Linked DNA regions of Mus musculus. The protein of the gene in region 1 purifies or fractionates together with the protein of each later gene. This does not show direct contact. Links are inferred from orthologs where the notes say so. Each region holds a gene or a part of one and is shown on either strand. Other genes may lie near its edges.

What was found. Proteins that work in one complex are often made in the same cells at the same time.
Region 2: the proteins of Fbxl13 (region 1) and Cetn2 purify together in Homo sapiens (affinity purification with mass spectrometry; 3 studies listed by BioGRID and IntAct, counting the BioPlex papers as one, with this or other methods). This does not show direct contact. The link is inferred for Mus musculus from reciprocal best matches to the Homo sapiens genes FBXL13 and CETN2.

What each region holds. Positions count from the first base shown.
Region 1 is NC_000071.6:21,613,498-21,618,775, reverse strand, and holds part of Fbxl13 (dynein regulatory complex subunit 6), read left to right. Parts: intron 1-1,478; coding exon 1,479-1,588; intron 1,589-3,979; coding exon 3,980-4,126; intron 4,127-4,216; exon of another isoform or gene 4,217-5,278. UniProt on the Homo sapiens protein: Substrate-recognition component of the SCF (SKP1-CUL1-F-box protein)-type E3 ubiquitin ligase complex.
Region 2 is NC_000086.7:72,914,827-72,920,548, forward strand, and holds the start of Cetn2 (centrin-2), read right to left. Parts: upstream 3,519-5,722; 5' UTR 3,491-3,518; coding exon 3,488-3,490; intron 2,021-3,487; coding exon 1,862-2,020; intron 1,568-1,861; coding exon 1,439-1,567; intron 152-1,438; coding exon 14-151; intron 1-13. UniProt on the Homo sapiens protein: Plays a fundamental role in microtubule organizing center structure and function. Required for centriole duplication and correct spindle formation. Has a role in regulating cytokinesis and genome stability via cooperation with CALM1 and CCP110.

The DNA.
Region 1 (5,278 bases):
AAGTTTTGTTTGATTATTGTCAGAATTTCCAAGTATTAAGTCTAAAATATGATTCTCAAAGTAGTACCCTTAAAATGAACAAATAATAGCATAGATTTATAGCATTTGAATATTTTATAATATACTTGTATCATGTGATGTCTTAAATGTCTAAGAAATATTCTAATTTGGTTTAGAAGATATATAATCTAGTAATAGTAAGTGATATAAAAATGAGGAATTAAAAAAGAAACCACGCTCATTCCTTCCAGAATGTTCTAACTTCATACTCATTACAACTTAAGTGATACAAGCTAAGATTGTATACATTTACATGTATAGAAACATAATTTTTATAGGTAACAACTCAAGAAAAAGCATTTAAATGAAAATGAGTGGAAGAAATGAGAGTGTAGCAGATGTGGGATTGTGAACGCACATACACATCTCAGCTGGTAACAGCAGCCTAACTCAACTAGTAGAGTTCTGGCTTCTCAAAGAGCTTAGATTCTAGAACAAAATTATGATGTTCAGTGAGGTTCCAACCCATTGGCAGGTATAGCAACAAACAAACAAACAAACAAGGCTTTAAATTTTCACCTGTGATGCTGAACACTGTTAGCTGCTGTGTTTTGTTCTGTTTGCATAACATTCAAATGAAAAACAGCATTGTCAAACTTTAAATGTCAGAAGTATTCATGCACCATTCAGATACCCATTTTTAGTTGAAAAGTGAAGTAAAATAAAAAGCTAACACAAACTCTGAACCTCAACTTCAGAGAGAAAAAAAGAGTGCCTGCAGCCAGGTACAGTCAGGTGCAGTCAGATGCAGCCAGTGCTGCCAGGGGTAACCAGTACAGCTAGGTGTAACAGATGCAGCCAGTGCTGCCAGGTGTAACCAGGTGCAGTCAGATGCACGAGGTGTAACCAGTGCAGCCAGGTGTAACAGGTGCAATCAGATGCACCAGGTGTAACCAGTGCAGCCAGGTGTAACCAGGTGCAGTCAGATGCACGAGGTGTAACCAGTGCAGCCAGGTGCAGATGAGGAGCTTGCCTGCTCTCCAGCCTGTTTGTGTTTCCTGGCTCCCTGTGTTTGGGTTCCGGACCTCTGATTCACATGCATCAGGAAATCTATTTGATCTAGAACTTATAATTCAAAGTCATTGGCTCTGATTACTACCTGGTGATTGTGTTTCTATGAAATGCTTAGAACTCTGAGTTTTGTAAAAGGTTAATTTGTTTAGTTTAAAAAAATATATGCATGTTTGTTTATATGTTTATATATATTTATTATATCTAAATTTCAAAGGGCAAAGAGGATATTTACATATTTAAAAATATTGCATATTTACATATTTAAAAATCCTTGGAGAACTATCTAATGCTATCAAAAGTAATTAATTTTAGTGTGATTAAAATGAAACACAAACTGTCAGATACATCAGTTCATAGTGTTTTTGGAAATAGCTTTAACCACATGTGATGCACATTTCCTGCAGCTACACTGCTTCGGTTGCGACATTTGTTCTATATGCAAAGACAAAGAATTATACTAGCAAAATGGAAGGAGAGAGCCAGACACAAGAGTAAAACAAGAGAAGACGACTTGGTATGATATTAGATGCTATTTGTTTTAAAGAAGGAAAAAAATCATTTCAATATTTGTTCATGTATATTGATAAAGACACTGTAAGTGTCACAGTTCTTGGGGGAAAGGTATCTTGGCATTTGGGAGCCAAGGAATACCACAGAGTCACACACCGCACCCCAAACCCTCACACAGGAGATTTACTGGCAGGGAAGAACCTAGGTGGTGGTTGCCTCTGCTCAGGTGAGAAGTAGCAGAAGTCAGGGTTTATATAGGATTTCTTGGGTTGAGTGGGTGTTGCTTTCCAGGGCGAGGATTGGTGGGATTTCAGGTCTTTTTACTCTGTAGGGAGGGCCTGGGTCCGATCATTAGTGCAGTTAGTGTGTTCTGTGGGTGGAACCTGGCCTTGGAGGTCCTCAGAGGAGGGGCCTGCCTCATGTGTCTCCAGGGGATTACATTCATCCCCATTTGTGTTTATTATTGATAAACAGTTGGGGTTGCGAAAGGGGCAATGTTATCATTGCCCTATTTCCTGCTGAGTGTGAGTGTAGAAGGCCTTTGGGCAAAGTTGATGTTGTAGGCTGGGTATTATCAGGAGTCAACCACCCCAATAACTAGGGGTGGGTAATCCTGTAAAAGCAACTGATTAAAAAGTCTGGTTAAAAAGCATTTGGACCTGTCTGTTGCTGAAGAAATCTATACAAAAAGGAAGTTTATAAAGTGGGGCACAAGTAGGAGTAAGAAAAGGAGGAGGGGCTGCATTAAGAAAGGTGACACCGAATTCTATATTGGATTGTCAAAGAGCCACTGGCCAGGAGAACAGAGCTGATTCTTATGATTTTGGAGTTCTGTCTGGCGTTGTCTGCTCATGTCTTTTACTATACCCGACTGGTTGACATAGAAGAAACGTTCCTCCCAGAGGAAAAGCCAAAGATCACCTCTCTCTCAGCTGTTAGTAAATCTAATCCTTACTGATTTTGTAGTAATATGGTGGCCAGTGAGTCTATTTGGCTCTAGAAGGTAAGGATGGTTTGAGCCACCCGTTGGAGCCAAAGATGTAATCAGCCCTACCACAGCTGTGGTGGTGCTATCAGTTAGACCCTGGAACAGAAGAGAGATAGGATCTCAACCTCTTGTTCATCATACCATGCCACCCTGAACCCCGTGAAAAAGGAACATCAGGGTGCAAGTCCCAGACTACCTATCAGGTAGGCAGTGGAAAGTCTGAGTGACACAGAGGATTGAAGAATTGTAAATGTTTGGACAGAAGGGCAGGGTGGCAGTGCTCAGGGTCAAAGTATTATTACAGTCTAAAGGATCCAGTGTGCCCACAAAAGTATGTCCCCGAGGAGTTAAAACAGTTTGCAATACCAAAGACAGAGGTGTGAGAGAGATGAGGAGTAGAAATAGGAAGAGGATGGGTGTTGTGGACAACCATTTCAACATTGCCAGCTAGATATGCCTGTTTTGGGTACCACTGCCACTGTTACTGCCATACTTGTAATCACTTTGTGTACTAAGCTAGTGTTGTGATCATTGCCCTTTGCTTGATGATTGATGTTCTAACAGTGGAATGGTTGATTGCACACAACCAGCATTCTTTCTTTACTTATTCTGATTGTCTCTGAGAAAAAAACAGGGTTCTTTTAATCCTGATGTTTGACATGCTCTGGTTGCTACATAGTATGTATTAGCAATATATTATTATCGTTTATATATTATAGTTAACTGAATGTTTAGGAATTAATTCCCCCCTAGCTATACAATTTATTGGCGGACAGTCATTCTGCAGTCGGTGAGTGAGAGTAACAGGTATGTGCTGGGAACAGAGGCAAATGTTAGCTATGTGTGCTGGCTTCCCAGTATGCGCCCATCCTATAAATACCTCTACTAAAATTGTGTATGTGGGTTTGTGAGAAGTGTGTGTAAAATACTCACTAACCCATAGAAGCGTTTTCTTGTTACATAGTCTTCAGGAACTGTGTCAGTTAAAATGGGACTTGCCATAATGGTTAGTCAGTCAGGACTCTGGCGTGTGTTCTTTGACTTCTCCTCTCTCAGTTGTCTCCCCACTAGCACATTCATTCAGTGACTCCAAATACTAGTGATTCCACTGCTGGGATCTCTTCTTTGTGGCCCACGGCTCTCCTCTCTAGAAGAGGAGATGACACCAGGTCTTTCAGGGGCGGCCTGTGCCAATACTTATGACAATTAGTAGAAGTGGTCTATAAAAGTTAAGATGGTCCAGGGAGTTTTATGTGTTCATATGGAAAATTATCATTTAGATAATAATGGCAGTCAACAGTGTATAGCAGGTACTAATATCAAGTATTGTGCTAAGTACCATTACCTTTGACCCTTAGGACAATTCCATAAATTATTTATATTTATTATAAATTATTTTCATTGCAGATTTCAAAACATGAACTTCAGTTGAAAAAATGGAAGTTCAAGTTAGGGAAGCCGATTAGCCTTGAGGGGAGCCTCTCTGACATCGCTGTTGAGAACAGGCGCATAGCATTTGACATTTCAGTGCTACCGGAGCAAGCAATACTCCAGGTTTGTAGGAGTTTGTTGAATAGTTTTCTTACAATTTGAGTATAGTTTGGAGTTAGGGTAAGTATGTTTGCTTATAATTCCTTATTTTAAAAATTATCGGCTGGGCCGAAGTCTGGCTGATGAAGGGCGGAAGTAAGAGTACCAACTCCGCAATCATGGCTCAAGAGGAGGATGATGTTAGAGATTACAATTTGACGGAGGAACAGAAGGCGACCAAGGACAAGTATCCTCCAGTCAATCGAAAGTATGGATATTTGGATCATACGGCTGATGTCCAGTTACACGCATGGGGAGACACTCTGGAGGAAGCATTTGAACAGTGTGCCATGGCCATGTTTGGTTACATGACAGATACTGGGACTGTGGAGCCCCTCCGCACCGTGGAAGTAGAAACCCAAGGGGATGACCTGCAGTTTCTGCTGTTTCACTTTTTGGACGAGTGGCTTTACAAGTTCAGCGCTGATGAGTACTTCATACCCCGGGAAGTGAAAGTACTTAATATTGATCAGAAAAATTTCAAGTTACGATTCATTGGGTGGGGAGAAGAGTTCTCACTGTCCAAGCACCCTCAGGGAACAGAAGTCAAGGCAATAACGTACTCAGCAATGCAAGTCTATAATGAAGAGAAGCCAGAAGTGTTTGTGATCATCGACATTTAAAATACCAAAGAGGGAAAAGACTCGTGAAGAACTGATTTGTTTTTTTCCTTTTGAGAGGATGTGATGACTCATTTTCTATAGTATCTGTGCTAAATGGAAATACGGAACTGTACATTTAAAGTGTGACTTTCAGAAATGGAAAACCAGTGAGTAGCAGTGGTCTCTAGATAATGAATTCCTCAGTTTTTGAGGAGCAGTCTTGTACTTGGTCATTTGAGCAGGAGCAGCAGGTGCCTTACATTGTTTGTTTGTTTGTTTGTTTGTTTTTTGAGTTATGCCATTTTTCTTTCTTTTTTTTTTCAATTTTTTATTTGGTATTTTCTTCATTTACATTTCAAATGCTATCCCGAAAGTTCCCTCTACCCTCCCCACTGCCCTGCTCCCCTACCTACCCACTCCTACTTCTTGGCCCTGGAGTTCCCCTGTACTGGGGCATATAAAGTTTGCAATACCAAGGGGCCTCTCTTTCCAATGATGGCCGACTAGGCCATCT
Region 2 (5,722 bases), on another chromosome or scaffold:
GCCTTTTTCTCACCTGCAGTTCCTCATCTGTCAGGTTCTCACCCAGCTCCTTGGCCACGCGCTTAAGATTCTTGAATGATATTTTCCCAGTCTCATCATCATCGAACAACTTGAAAGCTTTCAGGATTTCTTCTTTAGTGTCTTTCTCAGACTGGAGTAGAACACAAAAGTGATAGTTACTTATATCCAGCCACTCTTGCTACTCCCCGGTCATCTTTTTGTCTCCAAAAACCTGACTTGAACAATGTTAGGAAGCCAGGTCCTCTGATTCATGGTGGCATATATTCCCTTTCTACTTCCTCTGCCATCATCTATTCCATAATCAAATCAGAACTTAGTAGAAAAAAGATGCCTGCTTTTGAAAAAGTCAAGAAGTCCTAAAAAATAGACATGAGGACTTGTTGGGGGGGTGGGGCAAAGTATCATGTGGCAAGGACAGGTTCCTATTATAGCCGAACAGTCATATACTGTTTTCACAGGTAGAAGACAAGAGCCTCTGGAGTGAGCTGGGGCTCATCTTTCTAACACCTGACACTGGATCTGGCCAGGTATCTATACTGTCCCTCCTGTGCTTTGTCTTGTATAGAACGCTGCCCAGTTCTAATCCCAAGAAGGGAGTTGTAGGAAAACTATCTTCTTAGATTAATTCCCCGGCCATGGCCCACATTATCATAAGGTCCTGGTGATAGCTGTCATGATATATGTCCTTGGTCACAGGCAAACAAGTATGGTACATTGTAAAAAAAAAAAAAAAAAAGAAAACATACTTAGTAAAGTGAATATAAACTCAGGGGTTACATAGGAAATATAATTGTATATAAAGTACTGTACAAAACAAGCAGACACTAGATTCATTTTTAAAATATAGAAGCAGTGAGTAGGGTTGTAGTCAGGGAAAATACATTGCTAAAACAGATAGACTGATAAAGGCAGAGGAGGAGAGAGGTATTTTTCACAATGGCCTTCAAAGAATTACCAGGGCCCTGAGTCCTTGTAATGCAGAAGAGCAGAATTTCTGAAAGCGTTCAAACCTCAGCTATTTCAGGAAGGTTCTTGCCAGGAGGTTCAGGTGGAAGAATAATCTAGGAACCAATCTTAAGTGTGAACCATTTGTCTGAAAATGTCAGATTGACACCTGATTTATTGTATGATAATTTAATTTTTAATAATAATAAATTAAAACCAAAAATGACTAGCATTGAAAATCTCGGTGTTAAAAGTTTTTACTGCTTGTGATTATCATGTGGCCACATGAAACAAGATAATGCTAATACCTTAAAGAAAGCCAAATGAAACGTAGAGATCCTCTCAATTAAAAATACTATCTTCTCCCATGTGGAAGGGATAGATTTTGTTGGATAAAGCTCTTTGTATGTCTAGATTCTCATGTTTCTACCATTATGGGTAGAAAGCATGCTAATTATCTTAACTAACTTACCATTTTCTGAGTCATCACTGTCAAAAAGTCACTGAAGTTCATTTTTCCTGTTCCTTCTTTATCAATTTCACTTATCATTTTCTTAATTTCTTCTTTCTTGGGCTCAAAGCCCAGGGCCCTCATTGCCACCTACAATGAAAACAGAATCATCTAAATAGATACATAACGTAAAAACAAAAATGACTATTGAAGATATTAACCAAACACCTGATAAAATGATGGAAATGATCAGGGAACACTTAAGGCTGATTTAATTGATATTTGCAATCAACTTTATCAATTAGACCATTGTTTCAGGTAAAATATACACAGGGTACCCTTGTCTGTTACTTTTTGCAGGCAGAAAGGAGAAGAACGGTAACAGCTAAAAGACAAGCAATAAGGAAACACAAGGTAACAAAGAAAAGGATGTGTGCAGCTTACCTTCAGTTCTTTGATGTCTATAGTTCCAGTTCCATCAGCATCAAAGAGATCAAAAGCTTCCCGGATTTCCTGTTTCTGGTCTTCAGTAAGTTCAGGCTTAGGACTCATCCTTTTTCTCTGGGCACTGGATGCCATGGTTGTCTTCTTAAAATTAGAGGCCTTCACACAATATATAAACACAGAAGCACATTATTACAAGCCATAGTCCTTGTTTTATTTATGACAGCTCTAAACATACATATCTTTTTCAATGAGGTGTGCCATCGTTTGTAATGTACTTATGTCATTACGTAAACTTCCATGGGCCAGTGAGAATTCTTGCTGCCAAGCTTGATAACCTAAGTGGGAACCAGGACCCAGGCTTCAGTTGTCGTTGTCAAAGATGAAAAGGGAAACGATGCTTACATGGTAAAAGGAGAGAACTAACTCTTCCAAATTATTCTCTGACCGCCACACTCAGGCTAAAATGTGCTTCTCCACCAAGGAATAATAAGTGTAAAAACTAAAATAAAATTAACCCCAACTCTAAATGACAAATAGCACAAACCTCTGTGAAGAAAAAACTTTCTCTCAACTTAAAACTATTTCAATTTATATATGTCAGTTTTTACTAAGTTATAAAAAAAGAAATTGGCAATAATGAGGTTATTTTCTAATATAACTGTAAATTTGTCTTAATGTGATGTCTCATATGACTAAATTCAACTATATTTCATTGGGGAGCCACCAAATAGAAGAGAGTTTTTGTTTTAAAATAGTATATTACCATTTTCCTCCTTGTTCTTGTATAGATCAACATAGAGCAAGTGAATATATGAATATGAATTTCTAGTGTTAACATAGCCTTCATGAGAAGACATAACTCTGACCTCCACTGTCTTAAAGTTTATACTACAGAAAGTTCATGCAATTGTACCATTAATCCATGTGTCACTTTAGGAGATTCAATTTCAGTCATTTTTAAATCTAAAAAAGCATCATCAAAAGCTCTTTGAGAAACCAATTACAGTTATGGATGATCAACTGTATATGATTTCCGTACTCTCGGTTTTAGAAATGTACTTAAAACATCTACTTGTGGTGCCAGTTCCCAAGAACTCTGCTCCTCCAATTACTTATGCCTAAATTTGGCTAAATGTAAACTTACTAAGATAAAAATTATGCCGGTACAAAGTGATAAAAATCAAACCATTTGCACCTGCGTGCTTTCTCACAGCCTCTCCTGAAAGCGTTTGCGACCATCAGAACACAGTAAACCTCTTAGCACCAATGCATAAACTTTAACTGGGTGGCCGCGGCCAGGAGGCCTGAGTTTGACTGAGGCGGAAGTCTAAGGGAAGCAATAGAATGGTCACCCTGCTGTTTCCTGAAAGCCAGCGGAGGTCCAGAGGCAGTTTGTGCGGGGGTGGCTGAAGGTGACTTGGGCGAGGAGGGGGTAGTGGGAAAGAGCAGGCAAGGCAAGCTGCTGGCGGCTGTACTTTCTCTTCTACCCTTCCGGCACACAGCTCCAAGGAAGAACTAGTGCGTCAACGCCAAGAACCGTGCAAGAAAGGTAGCAAGGCTGCACCGAGGCCTAGGAAAGGACCGGGGACGCCGCGTGGGGTCCACCGAATCCCTAGCACTTACCATCACCCAACGGACTCTGCCACCGGTTGTTAAGGCAACGGCGTACTCGCAGCCTCAGCGGCGTTCCCACTGCTCCACGCGCGCACAGCCCGCTTCCCATTGGTTTGGGAACGAAGAGGTGGGGCTAACCTGGCAAAACTCGCCCAAGAGCAAGAGGGCGGTGCGTCGGCAGCCAAAGACTAGCCTCATTGGGCAAAATCATGCTGTGAGCGTCAATTGGTTGCGCCAGAGCCAAGCTAGACCAATCAACATTATGAAGGAAGCTCTGCTGATTGTGGGCTCATATCTATCAGTAGAAAAGGGTGGCGGGTGTTCAGCCAGACTTCTCTGGTTGCCGGTTGTCTGCAAGCTGAGGTCGATCATTTGAGTGTCTAAACCGGGTAAGAGTTGCGGGCTTGCCCTTAGAGGCTGCTGCGTGTGGGTGACAGAGCCTGGAGGAAGTAGGAGGGAATGGGTGGGACCCATTTTAAAACCGAGTTGGGGGACACAGAACATCTGAGGGGCCAGCAAGATATGACCAAATGGTTTGGAGGGGTGACTGTGCCAGGAGAAGCTGAGACCTCGAAACTGGAGTGGGCATGCTGAGTATTGTGTCAGTGGTTCACAGGGCTGGGGCTTAGAAACCCAATCCACATGAGGCTTTGTCTTTACATTAGCTCTACAAGAGTCACTTTAGCTCTCAGGGGAATGGGCTGGGGACTTTTAGATCTTCAAAACTCATCAAAATGTGTCCTGTTAGACGTACAGACACTCAAGTCACATGGGAAGGAGCATTCCTGAATGAGACTCCCTTGAAAGCAAAGCCACAGGAGTTTTGGAAGTATGGAATGTAAAGAGAATTAAAGGGCAAAGTGCACAACGGGTTGGGGCTACCTGGAGCTGTGCCAGGAGTAATGAAGGCCCAGGGTCGAACACAGATTCTATGTTCTACGTCCCTCAAAGCAAAGAAAATCAGTTTAGGGACTTTAAGGGCACAGTATCAGTCTCTCAAACTGAGAAAGGCCTGAGACTTAACAGCTCCCCATAAATGTAATATAGGCCCTTTGCCCTCTTTCCTTTAAGCCAGGAACCGGCTTCAAAACTTTTGTGTCTTGTTTGGCTCCTTTGTTCACTGCAGCAACAATCCCCCATATCCAGCCTCTGAGTTCTCACAGTTCCGTCCTTGAATTGTCCTCTGTTTTCTCTGTTCCTCCTCAGCCCTTCCTCAGCAGTATGAGCTGGAGTTCTCACCATAATCTGCAAAGCCTGCCATGAAATTCCTCCTTCTCCCATCACACCCACACTGTTCCCCCTCTGGCTCACTCTCACCCAGGGCACTATTTTTGCGGCTGATACATTCCTTCACTGACCTTACCCAGTCCCATGAACTTTTTAAAATTTTTTAGTATTTTGATTAATTCTTTGAGAAAATTTCACAGGTAGATATAATTTTTTTGTTTTGAGATAGGGTCTCACTCTGTAATTCTGGCTGACCTGGCACTCACTATGTAAACCAGGATGCCCTCAAACTTCACAGGGATCCATCTGCCACTGCCTCCTGAGTGCTTAGATTAAAGGTATGCACCAGCAAGCCTAGTATTGGTCTTCAGCTATTGTCACCTTCTCTGTAAAGGTAATCACTCTCTTTACTTTGTACCTGGGCCCCTCATATTGCTCCATATTTTTATAGTAGCACTTGTCACCTCCTAAGCCACTGTAAAGTTAACCTTTTTTCTTTGTTGTCTCCACTAGAAGGTAGGCACAGGAGGACAGGAATCATATTTGTGTTCACCAGTACCTGGAAAAGGAAAGACTACATGTTCAGTGTTCAGTGAACCTTAGTCTATCAGGTAGTCCATAAGTATCCCTTAGTTTTTCATAATTCACCCCTCTGCCAACATATGCTTATACTCTTACAGTGAACATCTCTGGTTTCATCAGTCCCCTTTGGGGTGGCAGCCCAGCAGGCTAGAAAGGACAAATAAATTTCTTCCTGGGTTATGCGCTAATTCTGTGACCCTAGCCAAGTTCTTTGACCTGTCTGAGTATAATTTTGCTTTGTTCTTATGTTCTTGCAACTTATCACGGTTACTAGGACATGTTCTTCCCACCCTTGGATGTGATCTATCTTTTAAGACTCTCACATCCTCTCTTTAACTCACTCATTCTAGGGCCTTAGCACTCAAGTTTTCAGATAATTTCATGTTACTAAGCATCATACATTAGTTCTCATGGGCTTAGCCTCCTTAGGATCCA